Lepisosteus oculatus: one gene and its partner. The protein of the gene in region 1 interacts with the protein of each later gene in a biochemical or structural test. Links are inferred from orthologs where the notes say so. Each region holds a gene or a part of one and is shown on either strand. Other genes may lie near its edges.

The links.
Region 2: the proteins of pard3aa (region 1) and jam3b form a complex in vitro, tested with the Homo sapiens proteins (2 studies listed by BioGRID and IntAct, with this or other methods). The link is inferred for Lepisosteus oculatus from reciprocal best matches to the Homo sapiens genes PARD3 and JAM3.

What each region holds. Positions count from the first base shown.
Region 1 is NC_090701.1:38,415,489-38,426,556, reverse strand, and holds the start of pard3aa (partitioning defective 3 homolog), read right to left. Parts: upstream 4,873-11,068; 5' UTR 4,623-4,872; coding exon 4,503-4,622; intron 1-4,502. UniProt on the Homo sapiens protein: Adapter protein involved in asymmetrical cell division and cell polarization processes. Seems to play a central role in the formation of epithelial tight junctions. Targets the phosphatase PTEN to cell junctions.
Region 2 is NC_090718.1:7,928,917-7,940,022, forward strand, and holds the start of jam3b (junctional adhesion molecule 3B), read right to left. Parts: upstream 5,068-11,106; 5' UTR 5,014-5,067; coding exon 4,965-5,013; intron 1-4,964. UniProt on the Homo sapiens protein: Junctional adhesion protein that mediates heterotypic cell-cell interactions with its cognate receptor JAM2 to regulate different cellular processes. Plays a role in homing and mobilization of hematopoietic stem and progenitor cells within the bone marrow.

The DNA.
Region 1 (11,068 bases):
AATGCTTTCGATCTCTGATAAAGCAAGTCCCAATCATCCATTTTCTAACAGCTTCATCCAATTCAGTAAAGCAAGAGCCTTTATTGTTAAAAGTTCAACTTGACAGAATCCAATGGCTTTGATGACGTTGAATGATGATGACAGCATTCCAGAAAATGCAGAGGGTCATGGGATTAGATGACCAATTAGTAATCAAATTTTAAGACCCATAGCCAATCTGAGATAACCATGGGCTTTTAGGATCATTTACATTCTAGGAACTTACACGGTCCAATCAAGTTGTATGTATGTACCTTTCCCCAGAGAAAAAACGCTACAGGTTACAGCTTCTTTGTATATTATTTTGACATCGACTAACCTTTTTGTTCAGAACGTCTTAGTTTCATCAAAGCAATGTGAGAGTTTCCTACAGGATCAGAGTGGTAGGATTCTCCTAGTTACTCTCTCCAAAGGGTTAAGAAAAGGCAGACCCCATGGCTTCCATTACAACGTTAATACACCCCTGGTACTACATTGCAGGTTCAGAATGAAAATTCTTGGCTCTTTTCAAAACACACAAGGAAATGCCTTATGTATGAGGTCTGAATGTATGGTTTACTTGACTGTCATTTCTTAGGAATTCACCAAGTAATTTTTGCACAATTTTCCAAGCAAATACTTCTTCCAAAAGCAATGCAAGCTTCTGGCAATACCATCTTTAGCTCTGATACAGTATCTGGAACCCAGAAAAGGATTTAAGGACAAGTCTGCAATATAAATAATTTCACAAGTCTGTAACTGCTGAAAATTGCATGTTACATGCATTAAACATTAAATCATTCTGTAGTCATTTATTATAGTTATACAGTAAATAAAAAAACGTATTTGACATCTCCTTCCTCTAATTGAAAATCTCTCAATGTAAGCACTGTCAATAGATTATCCCAATAACTCTGGCAGTGAATCTCTGATTAAAATAAAAGTCAATTTTAGTTCTTAGATATGTGAACTTATGATTGAATGTTCAGGTTCACAACTTAACCCTGAACACATTGTGTTCCTATCTTTAATAGTAAAATGTATGAATCAAGTACTTGGTGAAACAGAAATTTGAATTGTGTTTGCACATGGAAGTACATAAAATCTACTATAACAGTCAAGTCCAATAATTTTGCAGCATTGTGATATAATTGGATGCTGCTTATAGTGTAGTTTCCTTGCACTGTTTTTCATGCTTTTTAATTTTGTGTATTTATAAAATATAGCTACTTTGATGCAAGACAAAGTTCAGAGAAATCAGACAAAGTACTATGATTTAATTAACTCAAAAGCACAAAAGGTTTTTTAGACAGGAAGGCTTGGTGAATTCTATAACCATATTACAATTTTTAGTTTAAAAAGTCACACAACTACATGAATGGCCTATTCAGTAATAATCGTAGTCCATATAATTTAACAATAAATATTACTGTCTCTATAAGGACCTGCATTCAGGTAGTGCATCTGAGGCAAAGATTCAACTATCAAGCCTAAGTAGCTTTCAAAACAACTACAGATCAGAAGAAGGATATAAAAACACTGGAAAAACTCTTAATATCTCTTTGAGCACGGTGAAGTCATTCATTAAGAAGTGACAAATACACAGTACTCTGCCCCAGGCTTCCTGTCCAAACTGAGTCAAACAACAGCACCTTTGAAAGAGCTACAGAGTTCAATGACTGAGACAGCAGAAAATGTCAATGTGTCAACAACCTCCTAGTCACTCCACAAAGCTGGTCTTTAGGGCAAAGTGGCAACCCATCTCAAGTCATGGGGTGTACAACAAAGTGTTTAAGTAATATTGCAAACACGAGGCAAAAGGTTTTGTGGTCGGACAAGGTAAAATATAGGCTCTTTGTTCTAAATGCAAAAGCTCTACACATGGCATGAATCCAGCACAGGATGTCACCCAGTCAGCACCGTTTCTACTGTAAGGCATGGTGGTGGCAGCATTATGATATGGGGGGGCTGTTTCTCATCAGTAGGGCCTGGGAACCTGTCAAGATTTTGTTTTTGCGGGTTTTATTGACAAAACGTCTTTCACTCATAGACAAGTTCAGTAGGTGAATACTTCAGCATGGCACAGTATGTGGCTGGAACTTGCATCGGAGACTCAAGTTCTTGAGTTATGAAATGTGATGTAACCAACACAACCCAGTGCTCTGCAAATTTCCCTCAGTGCCTTCCTACTCGTTTGTTTTCTTTGGCGGTGCATATTGAAAAGGCAATGCTTCAAGCATCTCTTTCCCTGGAAACCTGATTCTAAATGCTTTAATGAAAATCCCCGCCATTAAAGCTAAAACGAGAAAGAATCAACAATGTCCAAATTCAAATACTTGAAAAAAATGTATTGCCACCTTTCTTAACCAAGGAGATTGATTCTGTATTACTGCAGCATGGATGTCCAAGTGTTGTTAGGAGATGGAAAAGTATGTTTCTATAGTCACCTCCCTTCATTACCTCAAGGTTTTGTGACAAAAACCTTTATTACTTAAATACACACATTTCTCCTTCTGACATAACTACTGTATTTTAAACTGATATAAATGATCAAACACTTCAGTACTCTAATAGGAAGGTGTCGCTTTACAGGAGACAGAAATGTTTAAACAACTGGCAAATGAAATTCAGAACTGCAACAGGCTTTCCTAATCCTAAAGACAGGTAAAAGCTTCCATTCATGAGGTTCAAACAGGGTAAAATTGTTTGAAACCTCTTTGAAATTAATCGGCTTGAATTTCTTTACGGCTATTTTACAAGCTCCCAACCCTCTGAAATGTTTCAATAATAATGTTGCGAGGGTGTACAGTAACTGAAACCGCTTTGTAGCTGTGATAGGGCAGTTACTCCGATACTCGAAAGTACTTTTAAACAGTAACTAGACTTCAGTCTCTGCCTCTTGAAGCTTATAACCACTAGCAGTTTAAGTGCTGCTTTTTTCTTGTTAGCTAAAACAAATATCATGAATTGTTTACAACGGATCTGTTAACTTCCTAAAGAAAATGACTCGCTATATTAAAAAAGACCTACTTTGTAAAATATTCTTCACAGAAAAACAAACGCTCCAAATGATGCTCTGTGGTTAAACACTGTTCTGAATGGGTATTGTAAAGTAGAAGATACTGCTAGAAAACAAGTGCACTTTCAAAATGTTACTCTTCACTTTACATACCAGAATTGTCTGAAAAAATTATATCATTCAGCAGGGTGATGTTTTATCATATTTGGATGTACTACAACAAGGAAGATACCGGTATTAAGAATTTGCTACACAACTAAGCGATATAATATGAAGTAGTGCTTTGGAAATCCATGTGTGTGTGACATAAACCAAACTGTAGGTATTTAGCCGATAGCCGACTGCTACTTGTAATAACTTCCCCATGAAACTCATTGCTGTCCCGATGTTATGTCGCCAGAAACAGCACACTGGAGTGTTACGTGATCGCACCAGTAGACATATTTTAAAAAAAACTAAAATAAGGAATTCAGAACAAATCACTGCTACTTATTCCCCCCTCTGCAACCTTACAAACCTGGGCGAACAATGATAAATGGCAGGGTTTTGGAGTCGCAATTCAGTGTCTGTGTAACTCAGTATTCCTGGAATACTAACCAGTGTCTTTACAGATGCAGTTTCCCTCCCTATCCTCCAGGGCCTGGTGTATTCAGGAAGCCTGGGGCTGGATTTGAAGCTTTTTAGCTTGTTTTGTTTTTATCTATTCCACATGAAGTATTCCCAACTTAAACCATAAAAATAGTGTGAGCATTAAAACGTATTTATTTCTGCGCATTTCGTTTTCAAAACATATGTGCAAATACACGCACCCTTTGATTTCGGCTGGTCCCTAACCAATCTACCTCCACTGTAAACTGCGCTTGAACAAAGCGATAAATAAGCTCACTGCATTTAAAAATATATTGACCATGAATAAAGTACTCGCGGTCGTATTAGGAAACTGATTTTTGCCAAATAAAACCACGTAACCAGCTTAAAGTTTGAAATCTGCAATTTGAAGGTTTACCAGTAATAGACAACGTTCAAACATGGCTTTTAAAAAGTATTAAATTAACGGTAGCTTTCAGAAAAATCTAAATCGTTGCTTAAAATACATTTTACCAAACTCGCCAGTGCGCCAATCAAAGAAAAACTGTCCCTTTAAATAACGTTCAAGTAAGGAACTTTTGCGGGTTTACAACAGCCGGGTCCCGCCGCACTTAAAACACAAAAAAAATATACAAAACTGTTAAATCTGACTACTACGCTACAACCCAGACTAACCCTGAAGTCGCTTCTTTCTCAATCAGCGCCCGTCTATCTCTACAAATTAATCAATAGACCTTTAGGATTTCCCTTCCTTCTCTTTTTTCTCCCAGAAAAGCGCCATATTGAGCTTGCCGCACCATTCCTTGGGTTACAACATTGTTTCCAATGGGGAATTTTTTAAAGCACCAAAGCACAATACGAAGTAAAGAAAACTTACCTTCGCAATAGCTTTTTTGTATCTCATCACGGCTTGTTGAATAAGGCTGTGAACTTTAATATTTCCATCGCCACACGGAACCACCACCCTGGTCCTTCCAAAACACACTGTCACTTTCATAGTTACCGATATTTTCCACAAATCCCAAATCCAGAAGAAAAATAAAGGTGTAGTTTTCGTATGTAAAACCCTCCTTGGGACGTATTTCCTTTGGACTTGCAAAAAGTAGATCCAAAAGAGAGAGAAACGCGAAGCTTTTCACCTTTTCTCCATGGTCGCTTTTTTAAGATGTGTGTTTCTGACCACCTGTTTAATGTTTCTGCGATCCTACTCTGATGTGCTGGCTAAACTGAAGCAGAAAAGAACTGAACTGGGAAACCATCTCCCCACCCTGGTCACTGCGAGTATTGAAGCTCTTGAAACTTCACAAGCAACCTCATTTCACATACTGTATACTGTAAGTCTCGGGAGTGTCGTTGCCCCCTCCTCTTTAATAAAGATGATAGGTAAAATATGTTATCAGTTTATACACAAGTACAGAACTCAAGTGGCTTATAAACTATATTTGCTCTTAAAACTGTGATTACTATGCTAAGCATCCCTTTAAAACTGTTGATATATCACTCCAAATGAGTTAATCAGCTAACACGAAAATGCAATCTTTTTGTACACTTAATGCCGATTATTATTTGGATTTAACTAATCTAATTTCTTAATTTATGTATATGTAACTAAAACTTGTTTTGTTTAGCTTTAAACCAACTGAGCAGACATGAACAGAACATTTTTAGTTTTCTGACGTGAACATAGCCCGTTGAATATATCTGCATAAAAGTAATGCAATAAGCCACTAAAGCTGTTACACTGTAGCTTACCGCGAAATATTATCATTTATCAGGACTGCAAAGTCTGCGAGTCGCGTTGGGTTACAATGTACTGTATAACGCTTGAAAACCTAAAAGCTAGCGCAAGGAACTGTTTTTTAACTGTCACAGATGTACATTATTAATTATTATTATTATTATTATTATTATTATTATTATTGAGCGCAGATGTCTTGTTCTACACGGAGCAGCGGTTGGCGTATTAGTATTAACCTATTGGCGACAAACCTGTTCGAGCAGAGGAAATGGTGGACAACTATCAATTTTTTGTTCAGCAAGTTAAAATTAGGTCTCTCTGTGCAACAGCAGACCCACCAACATATAATAAACAGTTTTTTTTTTCAGCACAGGCTTTCAGTCTCAATTTGGTAAAAACATTATATGGAAATGCAATTGATATTCATCAATCTCAATCACGCCAGCGGTTGCATTCCTGGTTTTTGAGGGCCGCTAGTTTCCTTCCACCTGACACTTCACGTGCTTAATTGAGTTAATTAGCGACTACATCACTGGATATGCTTACGAAAGTAGTCATTTTTTAAACAAGTTTTAAACACACAAAAGCTTTCCACAACCTCAGCCCTCGAGGGGCAGTATTGCTCATTACGAATACAAACGTGCAAAACTAATCGATGTCAAAACGCACACACAGCGCCAAACCTACAGTAACTAGCAGCTATTTAACTGTTCATCGTTTTCACGCATAGTCGTTTTTGACCAGACTGAATCCCTGCACCCCTGTGGATTCAGTCTCTGGGGAAATCAATTGGGTAAAAGTATTTACAAAACTTAAATAATATGATTTTTAAAATCTGTTTCTTTGATAAAGCAATCGTAAAGTATATTTAAAAACTCTAGATAACCCAACAGAATTGAAACTGTTTCAATTGGAAGTGCCATGAACGGTGTTATTGAGTCATATAATGTGCTAAAACTATTTCATACTGTCTTTCAGGTGTTGTAGTTATATTTAGTGTGGTTAATAAGCTGTGAAAAGCTTGTGATATATGGATTCTTTGAGATAAACGGTGTAACTCAATGACACAATGGAAGGTACAAATGATATAAGACATTTGATGAAGATGAAGTTGTACATTTAGCTGATCGATCTTCAACTTATTCAACATACCTAATTTTCTAGTCACTGATGCTGCTTCTCCTGCATCCCCTGGTTGAAATACACTCATCTACAGTATGTGTCGCATTAAAATAAGGTAACAAAATTCAGACGAACAGAAGCCTTCACTTTGTCGGCAAAGGTTTTAGCATTTCCACAGGTAAACTAACGTGCAGAAACCACACAGTTGACGAAACTTTTAGAATTAGGCAATATTTTCACCCCATAAAAAATGTAAGAATTTATAGAAATAATAAAATATTAAATAAAATATAACATTTATTTATATTAATACTATAATAAATTAAATGCTTGACTTGATAAATTCAAAATTGAGTTCTCACAGGATGACTGCCAGCATTTCTGGTATTGTTTTTGCCTCCAAGCTGTATGCACAAGAGTACAATTGCAGTTATTTTTCTTATTGGATTTGTACATGCATTTTGCTATTTAAATTCTGTCTTAAGGTCCAATTCCACGTTGCAACCTTATTGGAGTATTTCTTTTTTATATTCTGCCTTTTCCACAATGGAAAATCAATTTGCTCCTAACTAACATTGTTTTCAGCTAAACTGTGCCAGCAGGAGGAGATGGGCTTTTTTCAATGACGGTGGATGTCACTTTAATTCAAATCTGAATATCTGTGCTCGTCAGCATTAAAGCAGAACACATTTTAAACATTTCCTCGTTTAAGACTACGCAACAAAAAAATCCCTTTTCAACCTATCAAGTACATATTGTACTTAAGTGTCCTTCAAGTATTTATTGCCACACTGTTCTTTGCAATCTATCTTCAAGGGCACTGGAAAATAAGAACGATGACCAAAACTTCACGTTATCAAGACATGATAGAAATGCTTTATAAAGTTGAACATTGTGCTTCCTTTAGCTTCTTTTGTTCAGTCCCATCGCACAGTGGATCTATTAGAGAAGTGACAAATTCCTCCATCAGCATTACTTCAATAGGAGGTTCATTCACGTTTGATGAGATTGTCCTAGCCCAGAGTGGGATTTAGCCAGGACACCGGGATTAACGGTTTTACTCTTTCAAAAAGTGGTAGGGGATCTTCAGTGACCGACCATGTAATCAGGGCCTTGATTTCACATCTTGTCTGAAGCATAGCACCTGCTACTATGTTGTGGTTGTGACCCCAGTCAAAATACTGCATTGGTTTGGAAATTCAGGTCCAGAGAAAGAGTGTTACCTACTTGTCTGTCGGCACCATTTGGATCTCCTTTGAGGCCTCCCATTCCAGCTGTTCTTGGCTCAGGCTACAAAGTGGTATTGCTTCTGTCAGGATCCCAAAGTGCCTTACACCGACCCATTTAATCTACTAACTAAAGTGCAGCATGCACCTAGGTGACATGTAGCCGTATTATGCATCAGAAGCCCCAGTCACAGGTGTAGAAGGGAGAAATTACCAGTTGAATAAAGGTGGAATTGTGGACAGACCAGAGTGGAATTGTACGCAGGACAGTGAGGTTCTAACACCTGTTCGTATGAGCTTCAGTCTCACCTGAAGGGCAGCATCTCCCACAACACAGTGATCCCCATTCTGGAGCACTGGTTTGGAACATGTGGACCAGAGGGGAGAGTGCCACCTAGTGGTTCTCCGGCACCACTTCCAGTAGCAAGCTGGTTTTTTCTTTGAGGTCTCCTATCCCAATACAGACCAGGCCCAGTCTTGCTTAGGTAATGAGATCTCACAAGATCAGGCTAGAAGCTGGCAATGCTGCCCAAGAGTAAAATTACCTCCATAAAATACATTCACATCCTTAATTATTTAAAGCTGTAACAGAGCAATGTAAAGAGATTCTGGTTTTATCATAGTGAACACAGTTTCAATATACCGTATTATAAAATAAATTTGATAACATTAGGCAAAATGAAGTAATTATTGCTGAGAAACCAAAGTGTAACATTCTCCATAATTATAGTATACTGTAGCTTTAATAGTTCCTCTCCCTGGAGTGATTTAGGACCAGACAGCAAGTTACTGAACCACATAAATAACATCTGGAATCAGAATTTGTATGCTATCATGTGACAGGGAACCTTCCAAATGGCTTAAAATTATCAGGTATAATCATATAGAGAGATGCACTCAGAATTCACAAGAAAAAAAATAAAATCATTGACAGTTGTTAGCTGTGCATGAGGTTCTCTGAATGGAGTTGTAATAGAGAGGTAGAAAGGGTGATTTGGGCACTGGGACAAGTGGGAATAAACAGTAGAAATACTGCATTGATGTGTTAATTGGCACTAATAGTTAACCAGCGGTTGCAAATTACTACCTGAAATGAATCTTTTTGCACTTATTGCACATGCGTACCACCCATACACTCAAAAAAAGTATTTTTCAAACTCAGCAGCTGAGATTTTATGTCACTAGCTAACTGAGCACATACTGTACCATACATAACATTACTCACACTTTAAACAGAGATCAGGTTTGCTGATTGTTTGAGTGGTACCGTTCTTATGCAAAACTAAATCATGTCAAGCAATTCCATAATAACACTAGGGGCAAAGTGTTTAGCATTTGAGTTTGAATTCCCCAAATTTATGAAAGACCTGCATAAACAGACATTCATTTAATTGATGGTAAAACCATGAAAGATACGATTATGTCCTGTTTGAATAATGAAGATCACCTGGTTGCTATTGATCTGCTTGAAGATGACCTATCTGCGAGAGACGTTTTCAAGAGAAAGAGATGCTCCACTTCAACAATCAGCAGACTCCCTCAGAGATACCAGGAGGCCAGGGAACCAGCTCTGTGGGCCAGGCCAAGTCCAGGAAGGTCAGAACACTAGTCCAAGACTGCAGGAACTGCAGAAAATCTTGACTAATTAGTCATCAGTATATTGGATTATCAAAGGTGTTGCTCTCTTGATAAGTGGGGCATATTAGTTTTTTTCTGGTTTTCTTATTGTTCACAAGGCTTGACATTCAACGGATAATTCACATCATCTCCTGGGGCCAGTCAATTCTCATTAATGAGGTTTATGTAGTTTTTATGTAATAGTCAGAGACAAGTGATGGCATCACTGTTAGAAATGAATGATCAGTTAATGAAAAGGCTGTCAAACACATTTCATCACTATCCCAAACTGACATAATTTATTATCTAAGAACATAGATGCATTAATATAAGAAGTTGCTTCTGATGTCTGGGATATGCCAAAAAGATTCTAGTATTATCAAAAACACAATTCAACTTTGTCAGACCTTATGGATATGATGAAAAGTTGATATTGTACTGCCTACAATCTTACCCCTCACAACAGAAATCAAACTTGTCCCCAACACACATTAAGGACGTGCATAACCCTTTGTGTACAAATCTTCCCCTGGCTGTTAGTTGTAAATATTTCCCCCCAGTTTCAACCTGTGCCTTGTGGTTTGTATTTCACAGATGGATCTGTAGTCCAAAAGGCTGACTTTGTCAGGGCCTTTGAAGACTATGGCCAGGGATTTGAACTTGCCTCTACTTGGCCCTATACCAAATGGTTGCATGTCACACATATTTACTTCAAACAACTGACTACTGGCTGGATCAATTAATGGTAACTGAACCTTGAAACTGTCGCAATGGCAAGGGAATTCAGAACAAAATTAACAAATGCTTACAGTTAAAAAAAAGCTGAGGTAAAAGGAATCCACACTTTCTAAGACAAAATAATTGTGAATCATTGCTTAAGATTCTTCTAATATAGCTCGTATTTGTTTTGGACACGTACAGTATATAGTCATCGGACTTAAAACGCAAAGAATGTTAGTACTAGATTCACTGACAGCTTCCTAGGGTTTATTTGAAGTTTTAAGGGTTCAGAGCTCATATTTACTCTTTATTTTACTTGCCAGTAGCCATATCACTCTGCAACTCACAACTGGCAACCCACTGAAGCTCAGCAGGTGTGAGCCTGGTCCGTACCTGGATGGGAGACCTCCTGGGAAAAACTGAGGTTGCTGAGAGAAGAGGTGTTAGTGGGACCAGCAGGTCCATGTGGGTCCTAATGCCCCAGTATCATGACGGAGACACTAGACTGTAAAAAGGCATCGTCCTTCAGATGAGACATAAAACCGAGAGGCTGACTCTTTGTGGTCATTAAAAATCCCAGGGCGTTTCTAGAAGAGTAGGGGTGTAACCCTGGTGTCCTGGCCAAATTTCCCATTGGCCTTTACCAATCATGGCCTCCTAATAATCCCCATCTATGACTTGGCTTCATTACTCTGTTCTCCTCCCCACTGATAGCTGATGTGTGGTGAGCGTTCTGGCGCACTATGGCTGCTGTTTCATCATCCAGGTGGATGTTGCACATTGGTGGTGGTGGAGGGGAGTCCCCAAAGCGCTTTGAGTGGAGTGTCCAGAAAAGCGCTATGTAAGTGTAAGCAATTATTAATTATTAATTATTATTAAGGCAGAAACATGTCAGGAAAACACTGTAATAAGTTTTATACCACAGACTGGGTTTACAGTCTGGGTATACAGCGTTACCTCTAAAAGTTTAACTATCAATCTGAACTCTGTACTTGAAACTCTACAAAAAAGATTTTTGGG
Region 2 (11,106 bases), on another chromosome or scaffold:
TTTTAAAACTTGTAATCCAAAAGGAATGTAATGACCGGTACATGATGTAATTATGATTGTTGCCCTATTGTTACTAAGCAAACGACTGAAACGTCCATTAAACCCCCTGCTTTCCACATTGTATAATCTGCTGAGGAAACGCTATCCAACATTCAGTTAACGGAAAGCCCAATTAAATTGGGAGAACACACAAATAACCTAATAAGACATTTTAGCTACCCTATAGAGGTCCTGAGAACCAAAGAATCTAGCAACTACTTCAATTTTCTGATTTCATAAAGGGCCTATTTTTTAGTGTGACTCTGTGATAATACCAAAAACAGGGGCCAGCTTCCACATAATTTTATAGATGCTGCAAACTGCAGTGTACTACATAAAACTACTGAGATTCAGCACTTTTAGCAATGTGCCAAGTTCCTTGCTTGTGTTTTGATGTCAGAGTTTGTACTCATCTGGCTAAATCCCTAGAATTATTTCTCTGACTCCCAGGAAAAGTTCTGCCAGTGTCTTTCACTTTGACCTTTCTGATCAAAAGCTGTGGGAAGGAGGAAAAAAGCACAGCTTCAGGAACTTTAAAGCAACTTGTGTCATTGTTTTTACCAGTAGTGAAGCTTTTCACCAGCAGTCTGGCATAACGCCACAAAACTACAGTACAGTGTTTTACCAGCTTGCGTGCCCATTACAGCATGCTGTGAGTTGCTCTCTATTTCTGGTCATTTTAGAGATGCACTGCATGTGGCATCCATAAATAGGCCCTTCAAGCTGTTTTTCCATGCTCTTGAAAAAGTCTAACACACAATAATAAATATCACAATTGTTCATAAATCTTTGTCAGGACTCTATGTGTACAAACATAAAGTACATAGAAATTGGGTCAGATACTCTTTTGCACATTAAAATGAGGAACTCCAAATGCAGCTTCACTTTCCCATGCCTGAATATGGTGGGACACAGGCAGAATGCCTCCAATGTGTCAGTTACAATACATTGGCATTGCCATATAACCATATTTTGCTTCAGCAGTTGTCACAGAGCCCTTCTTAGTCCTCCTGCCAACCAATTTCCAGACAGTTGCAGAACGGAGCTCAAAGTAAAGATTACGAACTGCGAGACGTCCGACAGTCTTCTGGAGATCAAAGCGCTCTCCCTCGAAGTACAGTATGAGGATCATTCCAGCCTAACATCAAGGAGAAGGTGGGAACAAGAAGTTAAGCACTTTATATTTTGTTGCAAAAGAACAGGGTGGCATCGTGGCAGTCAGTGGAGATTCTGCAAGACTTCACCAGCACAGTGATAAAAATACAAAAACAATATTCTTACCAGCCAAGTCTTACTTATCCTCTCCAGACATTCTAAGGCACAGAAAGATGCAGGATATTTGACTATTATTTGAAGATGTTTTAAAGGTAGCTTTCTCACCTTCTTGAATCATGGGTTAACTTGACATTGATGGACTTTCATTCTGCTAGATATGCTTTAGCTGAAAGGGGCAGACTTCGAATGATTATTTTTTGCCAACCTGAATGTTTTATGTCAACATTAAAAATATAGATAAACAAAGATTGAACTATTCATACACTATTATTTTACTGGTTTTCAAAGTGTCTTTTTGGAACATTTACCTTTCTGACCAAAAGATGAAGTTCAATTAATTCACACAAAACTCTTAATGGAACCAACAGGCTGAAGGCTCACAACTAGCAGAAGGAGAGCTTTGCTACCAGTAATATTTTTTTCTGGTTTGTCGCTCTGTGTAAAAGAACTACATTATCTTTGCTCTGATGAGGAGTTAAAAATAAATGACAAGTGCCAAACCATCAAATCTACTGCCAATCACACCTCCCAACTGGAATAAAAAAAAAATCTTTAAAGCCTATCTCTAAAGATTGTCCCGGGACAGGTCACTTCAGAGGCTATAAATAAAGAAAAAGCTGAATCTCTAAACATGGCTTTACACTAGTTTGGAAATGTTCCACTGAGTATCGTACTGCTTCAAAATATCTTGGCACCACGTTGTTTTGGCTGGAGGTAGTATTAAATTCCTCTCTTCAAGAAGAATTAAATCTTAAACAACAATAGAAGCAGTAACCTCCACAGTGTCATAACAAACATAACGAAACCCAGAAACAGCTTCATCTTTAATTCCTTTTCCCTGGCAGGAAAAATACATAAAAATGGCACAGCACAGCAGGGAAGCTCTTTCGGCTATTGAATCTTAAGTTATGAGCACATGGCCAAAGTATTTCAGACTCAGTAACTATATTTAAAAAAAATATTTTAGAGTGTCTAACACAATAGCTCTTGATACCCACAATGGACACATTTCTGCAAAATTACTGTTAGCAACAACGTGGGCTTGCTTTTCCACACGCCATGTTTGAAGACAGATCAGCAGAAACTGTGCTGCAAAAGGATTTTTTCACTGTTGAAACATTTTTTTTTAAAAAGGAACCCGTCAATATTGTTTTAGTTTAAAGTTTAAGTTTAAAGTGGGCTTTTCATGCCTACATTATTTTGATCATTGAAGTTAGAAAAGAAGCTTCTAGCCCCATTTGTAAAGCATGATAATTCTTTTTAAAATGATAATATCTTCAAAGGTTATTTTAAGAGATGCAAAGCAAGCAGGAAAAGAAAGTCATGCCAAACAACTGCTGAATCATTGATCTACTTGTAGATATTGTATTTAATTTTTCAGGCTATTTGAATGTCCCTAATTGAATATAGGGTACAACATTTAAATGAACATTGAGAGTTGTTTTCAAACTCCTACAAAACACATACAAATTTGTATTACTGTTTAAAGTTTGCAGGTTTTCAAATATCTATACATATTTGTTATAGATAAAAATATAAACATATTTAGCTTCAATGAGCACTGAGTTGACTTCCCTGTTAATGTCTGAGTTATCCTTTCACTCAGCCTTCATTAGTGCTATAAATGGGTAGACTACCCTAAAGAGTATCTGCACAATACTGAAATGACAGATGTACAGTAATTAACAAGCACCAGCTGATTACACTGGTAGTTGTAGTAAAAACAATATTTCCTACACACGACCCACGCTGCTTCGTTTAGGTAGTCCAATGACACAGATCATCAGCTTCTTCGTTATTGCATTGCTTGGTGTGTCGAGACGTTAATTACGAGGTGATAACGAGGCAAGAACCAACATTTCTGTTTAGCGGCATCAACACACAGAGTTAGGGACTGTAATGCACAAGAAATTTTCATGCCACTGATGTTGTTGCTTATTAAGCAGCAAGATAACCCACTTCGCGGCAAGCAAATTAAAGTGACGCATTTGGTATGTTATGCTGTTTTTTTCTTCATGAAAGTCAAAGCTAGAAAGCCCTCAAGAATAACATTTTCACTCTTGTAAATATGCACAGTAGGCTTTTCAGAATCAGCATAGCCCTGCTAGAGAGAGGTATAATCAGTTGATTGAGTTTTCATCTCTCCTTCTAATTCTGTTAAAGGCGTGGGTGGCATTTATAGATGGGACTACCTACAGTACAGTTACCCGCTCCGATTAACAGCTGCACTGAAGAATCAGAGCTAAAAGTATTTTAAAGCACACGACCTCAAGATACAGTATGTTTATGAAGCCGCAACACTTAAACTTTACACTATTTACAGTGAGAAGCTGTACTTCAGGGACACCTTGGTGCGTTGTTTACATTTATTCTTCTAATGCTATTGAAACACCTATTCCTTCTAAACTCATAATAAACTACAAAACAGAATAAACAAGGCAAACTACTGTGTTGCCCGTCACTGTGATCTGCAATAATAATCAGAACCACCACCACAACAACAACAATAGTGAGTGAAAAATATTTACATTGTATTTCATAATATTTCAATATTATATTAGTAATATTTTAATGATATTTTTATATTGCATTACAAATGCCACATGATTTGCCACAATACAAAAAAACAACACAGATCTCTGCGGGGCGGAGTGACTGAAATGGACTGAAACAGCCTGCTGTCGCACCGGCCACGCTGTTGTCTGATCACGCATGCCGGCTCTGGCTCAGTCCTGCTGTCTCACAGAGCGGCGGTGGGGCAGTGCGGCGGTGCGGGAGCGGTGCGCCCAGGCGCCGACCCCCGCCGGACCGCGGACCGTCCCCTCCAGCCAGCGCTCCCGACCGCACGGCCGTTATCCTGCATCCCTCGCACCAACTTTTCTCCCACTTCTCTCTCTCTTTCTCTCAACTCCCAAGTTTTATCCGTGTACTCCGCGTATCCCGGCTTCAAAACACGCGTGAAAATGTCCCAGCTTGAGCTCTCTCTAACCACGCAGTCACCGATATTCGCCAAATACGTCTTGCTACCAATCACCCGACAAAACTTTTTTTGGGGGGGGGGTCGTCGTCGTAGCTGAGGTTCCCCAGAAAACAGACGGCGAAACACCCGTCTCACATCCGGACTTCAGAGTTTATATATATATACTGTATATTAAGTTAAGAAGCAAGCAAACGCCACCTTTACTTTTTTTTTCCGACCCAAAGATTTCAAAATGTAACGTACAGCTCAGAGCAGATATTTATTCTTCGCCTTTGGGAAAGCATATTAATAATAAGAGCCAGGGTGTCCCGTTATCTCGCGAATATTGCTTGAACGGTACAGTATGTACCGTTATCTTCCCCCAAACCCAAAGCTGCAATAAAGACAGCTTTTATCACTGCACACTTGCGTTGCTCTTCAGCTTTGCAGCAGAATAGGTAGCTAATTGTAACAACAATAAAACAATAAGCAGCCCACGTTGAGTTCATCTGATTTAAAAAAAAAAGCTCTATAGCTGGGTCTTTCTAGCTGTTCTTGTACCAATTTCGTGTAGCTGCGGATAATGGAAACGCACACCCCACAGAGAAAGGACGGTAAAGTTCAGAGGGGAAAAGAAGAAAATAACGTTACAGCTCAATACATGAAACAGCCCATTTCTGCATAGACTCACAGTGTGCAGAGAAGAGGATCGCAAATCCTGCCAGCCTTGCTTTCGCCATCTTGTTGAGTTGCTCAATGGATTATCTGCCCGTACATGCGCAAAATAGAGGGGGTAGCTTTCAGATGATAGGGAGGACCACTGGAGAGAGGGAGGGGAGAGTCTGTTGTCGAGAGTTTCCATAGCTACACGCATCGTTTTTAAGGACAGCCTTTCCCCAAAATTTACTTTTTTTCCCCTCCCAAACAGGATTAGTGGTTTTTACCGTTACAGTTCTTGATTTTCGTCTTATAGTTGTGCTGTAAATTATTTAGACGACATTTCTCACGAACTGGCTGATGAAAGGTTTTTTTAGGGGGCTTACAGGACATTTTCTTAAAGTCAAGTATTAACCTCTTCCTGCGGGAATATTTTTCTCGCCCGCAGTTATGTTTCAAAGGTCTAAAAAAGTGGCAGGCTCTTTACATTTATATAGATGCCTAGCGGATCTCACTAACCTAGTTCATAGCTTAATCTTCATAATCTTCATATTATGGACCAGAGAGTGTACATCAAGCTTATTTTATTGTTTCGATCAATTCTTATTGGACAGCACCTCAGAAATGTAAGGTGTGTGATCTTTTCCCAATTATAATTCTTCTTCAATAAACTACTTTAATCAATAGTTTTCAATTATTTGTTTTGATGTTTAATTTCTGCTGAAACAATGACACAGTAGACAGATAAGCACATTACCCAAAGATATATAATCACTTCTAATTATATCAAGGTAGTATAATTTTTAGTACTCTTACTGTCATAATATAGAAGATAGAAACTGTATACAGTATATGAGATTCATTTCACCCCCAGAGTTAAATGGTGTCGGCCTTAAACTGCAACCAGCAATAGACTCAGGCACACTGTGCCTAAGCAATAATTTGACTTGTCTTCAAATAATGCCAGACTGGAAAAAAATCCATATTCCAGGGATGAAGTGATGAGCAATATCTTTCAATATCTATTCTGTCCCATTGTATTTTTGAAAGGCTCTTTGAATCTCACATGGATTTAATCTCCACACAGCCACTAGCACAATAAAATGATAAAATTCTGTATGCAGAACACATTCTTTATATAATCTTGTACAAGATGTGTTTTAAAAACCTGCAGGACCTACAGTCCTTGTGTTTTATGGATCTGTCAGTGAAAAAGCAGCATCACCTGTGTATCTTTCCTCTTCAGTGTCCTACATTTGTTCAGCTTGCTGTAAATATACTTCTTGTGTCGGATTCAGCACTTTTAGTCATTTTGAGTGTTTATCTATGTCAATGTTCCAGCAGAAAATAAAAAAAGGAGAAAGTAAAAAGAAAAAAGAAAATTCTATGTTTGAATGTCACACCTTTAATCAAAACTATTGATCAAAGCTTGTAGAAGAAGAAAGGTTTTACATGGGAATAGATCACACACCCAACATGTTTTAGATGCTGACCAATGAGAACTGATCAAAACAATAAAATATGCAAATAATGACGCACATGCTCTAGTCAATAATTGAAGAACAAAGCAATATTTTAACCAGATTAGTGAGATCTAACACAAATGTACAGTACAACAGTACTGTATATCATGTTCATAGACCATTAAAACCAAGCTGCAGTGAAGACATCAAGAGTTCTTGGGCAGGAACTTGGTGAGAAATGTACTGTAGTCTCTCTCATTACAGTAAAACTTAAATGTCTGTCTTGTGCTGCGACACATTTAATTTTCTTATATTATGTTCTGGGTTCTTTTGCCCTGCAACACAGATTTTACCATCTCTTTAGCTACCTGTTAAAAAATTTAAACTGCTTCCATACAACGTCCTAATGACAGATGTGATAAGAATACTAAGAAAAAAGAATTTCTTGCTCTTAAAAAATTAATTAAGCATGTCCACCAAAGTAAGTTGTCTGTACCAGCTTTTTATTTCTGTCATTGGGATCTGGAGTCTTTTTCAATATTTCTTCTTTTAACTTCAGTTTATTAACATATATTCTGCAAGGAATAAGGTACTGTAGATATCAATTTCATTATTGGACTGATTGTTCAGAGCTGTCACTGATCTATTACTTGATTCAATTTTGGAGGAAATCCAGCACTGAGAAGAATAGCTGCTCAATCTTGCTCTAATGGCAGTTTATAGAAATGACTTATGTTGGCATACTCTGGGGATATTTCATTTAAGACTGTGATGTAAAATATTTTAGTATGGTAGGTTTTGCCATCAGTCTCACTCCGGTTTTGCTTCCAGCATTCATGATTGGTTTGGCAGGGGCCTGCTGTTTTCTTAAGCTGGTACTTTGAATTATTGCCTGCATTGCATTTCATTATTTTCTTGCAACACAGATTCTGTTTGTTTTGTAACTTTTGCTTTGACCACTGAGCTCACTAGTTTTCACAATATTATGTTCAGTATACAGTATACAGTTGTTTTTTTTTACATTTTGCCTTTGAAATATTTTCCGGAATGGCACACCTGTGACTTCAAACAAGACCTATACTTCATTTCAGGAAGCGCTATTTTACTGATTTAAAAAATAGCTCTGTTAAATCCAGATCATGAAATGTTTTGATTAAACTTTGATGATATGGTCCAGTGATAGAGAAATAAAACTAAAAATGTAAATATACTACGACTTATTAAAATAGACATGAGTGAGTGATAACGTTATTAGTTGAATTAAACAGGTACGTATGCAGTCTTCAGTTCTTATAAACTGTAGAAAGGGTCTTTGCCAGAGCAGGTAAAAAACAGTTTTTTGTTGCATGCTGGGAAAAGTATGCTTGCATAAACGAACACACTTTCCTTGTGGGAAAAAAATTCAAAAAGCCTCAAAATGAAAGGTGTAGTGGCTTCTTCAGAGCTCGCACCATGGGAAGGCTAACAACTGCAGATCTTAATCTGTCGACACAGCACAGGGCTGATGACACAGTGTCCCGAGAAATGCTCCAACTTTCTCAGGCTTAGGAAAACCTCTCTGTGACACAAGTTATCTGCACAGACACGGTGGGTGGCATCTGAGTGAGAGGGGCATCTGTTGGCCTGAGGCAAGGATCGACAGAGAAATTCAAAAACATTGAAGGGAGAGTGGCAGTGGGGAGAATGAGGATGGTGTCAGCAGGGGAGAAGCAGAGGGAGAGGAGTCACAAAGAAAACTCACATGAGAAACAAAACTGCAAAGGACTGGGTAATTAAGTGCTCGTGAAGTGAACCTAAATGCCATTTATCATTAGGAACAAAATCCAAGAAGAAGAAGGGGCTGCCTTAGTGTGTGACTTAACTGGAATCACGAAACTTTCTGCTAACAGAATGGCAATGAATACAGCATGAGTGGATACGCAGCGTTCAGAAGATGAGGCAGCTGAAAAAGGTGAAGACGATGGCACTGCTCAACAAAATAGCATCAAAGGACAAGGAACTAACCCAGATCAGTAGTTTCAGCGCTGAGCCTGCTGAAAGCCTGTCTGCTGATTTCAGGTCCAGCTGACCTCTTACTCACTGATAACTAGCACCTTTAATGTATCTGTTTCTCCTGCAGAGGATCGGCTGGTCATGTCTGAGATATTGTGCTGGCAGATAGTGTGCTGGCAGAGTCCAAAACCAAGTTTACAATTTCAGGAAAGCAGACAATGAAGAAATGAGATATGATAAAATAGATATTGAGATCCAGAGAAAGGATGCCCACAGTTTAAATACTGTATATTCTGCTTCAAGCATAAAGAAGGAACAAAATGAACTTAATGCACTGGTAAAAAGGATTTTTAAAAAGGTCAAGAGAGAAATAGAAAATAATATTGTAATGGAGGCTGTAATAAAATCAGAAAAAGTTTTCAATATTACAGAGGCAAAAGCAAAATAAAGAATGAGGTGTCTCTGAGATAAAAATGAGAAACCGTAAAAACAATAAGAAGGAAATGGTTTATATATATTAAGGTGTTTATTGAGGTGTTTACTAAGAAAGAAAATGCCAACATGCCACAGACTGAAGGAATCTAAATCGAAATCTGTCTATTAAATAATATTAGTATGGAAGAAAGTCACTCACTAGAAACCTTTGTAAAAGTAAATCATCAGAGCCTCCACAGGAGGTAGCAGTTCACAGTTGTACTTACTTAATGAAAGTATAAAGGAAGCAATGATATTCATAGACTGTTAATCAAACTTTTCCAACAGTTGCTCAAGACACACACTGATTGGAATTGTTAATGTTGCATCCAGCCATCCAAAGAGTGACAAAACCAAATCAAGTAATTAAAGATCAATTAGTTTTACTTCTATTGTTGTAAAATTCTGAACATGTTAATTCAAACTAAACTAGAAAATTACTTGCATGGATAGTCAGTGTCTAGGGTTACTCAGCTAGTCAGAGTTTTCTGAGTAAGCCATACCATAATTGATAAAAACACATCATACAATACAGTATATTTAGATATTCAAAGGATTATTATAATGTTTCCCATAAAAGAATAATTCTCATGTTGCAGGTGGTAGGTATTCAAAGGTTATAAAAATCAGGTCTGAAAATTAATTATTTTAGTTTCAAAGTTTGTTATTTGAAGGTCTTCTGAAATCAAAATCTACATTTCGTATACGTACTGTATAAAGCACAGAACGTTTTTGCATTTCTTCATAAAATTAAATTTCGTTGACTAAACATCTTTATACAGTAGAGCAAATTGTTAACTATCTTTTGGGATAATAATTGGGATCATTGTCATGTTCATTTACTCCATGGACTTGAGTCAAAGTGGCAGGAAAAGAAGGGTTGGATGAGACGTTGACTCTCAGGACATTGTCACTGCCCGTGTGGGTGGCTACAGTGGGTGGACGCCTAAGGGACAGATGTGGCCTATTTCCTTGAAAACTGTGGAGTCTTAGCTTGAGATCACATTGACTAATATTCCTCTGCGTAGGTCAGGGAACTCCAGTTTCACACGTGTTTTTTCAGATTTTATTCTCATGTAGCAAACACATACTGTACTGTAGCAACTCACACTAAAGCTGACCACCTGAGAGTCATGAAAATGTCACTGCAAACACTATTAATTAGGACTGGCAATGCTCATGTTGCCTTCAGCTTGCTGTCCTCGCTCATATTTTCTTCATTTCATACTGTTTTCAATCAAAAAAACAAGAATTAAAGGTTGACTTTAAAATGAAGTTTCCAGAACAGCTCCACTCAAAACAAGAATAAACTCACTGATTGTTGCCTACAGCCTAAATTGTTATCATGGCCATCAGTTCCTATATCTAATGGTATATGAGAAATGTACTGCAAGTTAGACGTGCTCCTTTTACAGCGTTATTTCAAGCACTAGCAGGGGGAAGAGGAACAGTTGACTTTCATGGTTGAATACAACAGTTTTTGAGGGTTTTGCCTTGAAGGGCATTTGAATTTTTTAGCAGTTTCTCTGAGTGTTCATTTAAAAGGAAGCAACACTGCTTTGTTCTGAATCACTTTTTCTCAACTGAAAGCAGGAAAAAGGTCAAGTTACAAATATCCCCAACAGCTTGGACTCTGGGAAAGGGCTGTATTCACAGTTTACAATGGCGTGTTCCAAAGAAGGCAGATGAAGTTCATTTCATTAAAACAGTAGTTCCCTTTTTAATTTTATTTACATTATACAGTACAGGACTCAGCCTGGGTCTTTCCACATAATCTTTCTCATACTCCTAGGTTGTGTCTTCCGTGAGCCTGCGTAAGCAAAATGTAGTTAATAATATAATAATAACATTACTTTATTAACCCTTTACAATTTCTTGCATTAGGAATAATCTTTTCGCATACCCCAACTTGCTCTCCATGAGACACACAGACACACAGATAGGGAGAGAGCCTGGGGTCAGAGCGCAGGGTCTGCCATAGTACAGCACCCCTGGAGCAGTTGGGGTTAAGGGCATTGCTCAGGAGCCCAGTGGAGTAGGATTCCCCTGCTGGCTGCGGGATTTGAGCCGGCAACCTTCCAGCCACATGCGCAGATCCTTAGCCACAGAGCCACTGCTCCACCCTAAAAAAACAGATAAATAAGAAAACTAACATCCGTTTGCCTGTAGTATTAATAACTAGTCATTTGCAAAGCATTATAGAGAATATCAGTTATAGAAAGCAAATATGTAACCGACATGATTAAC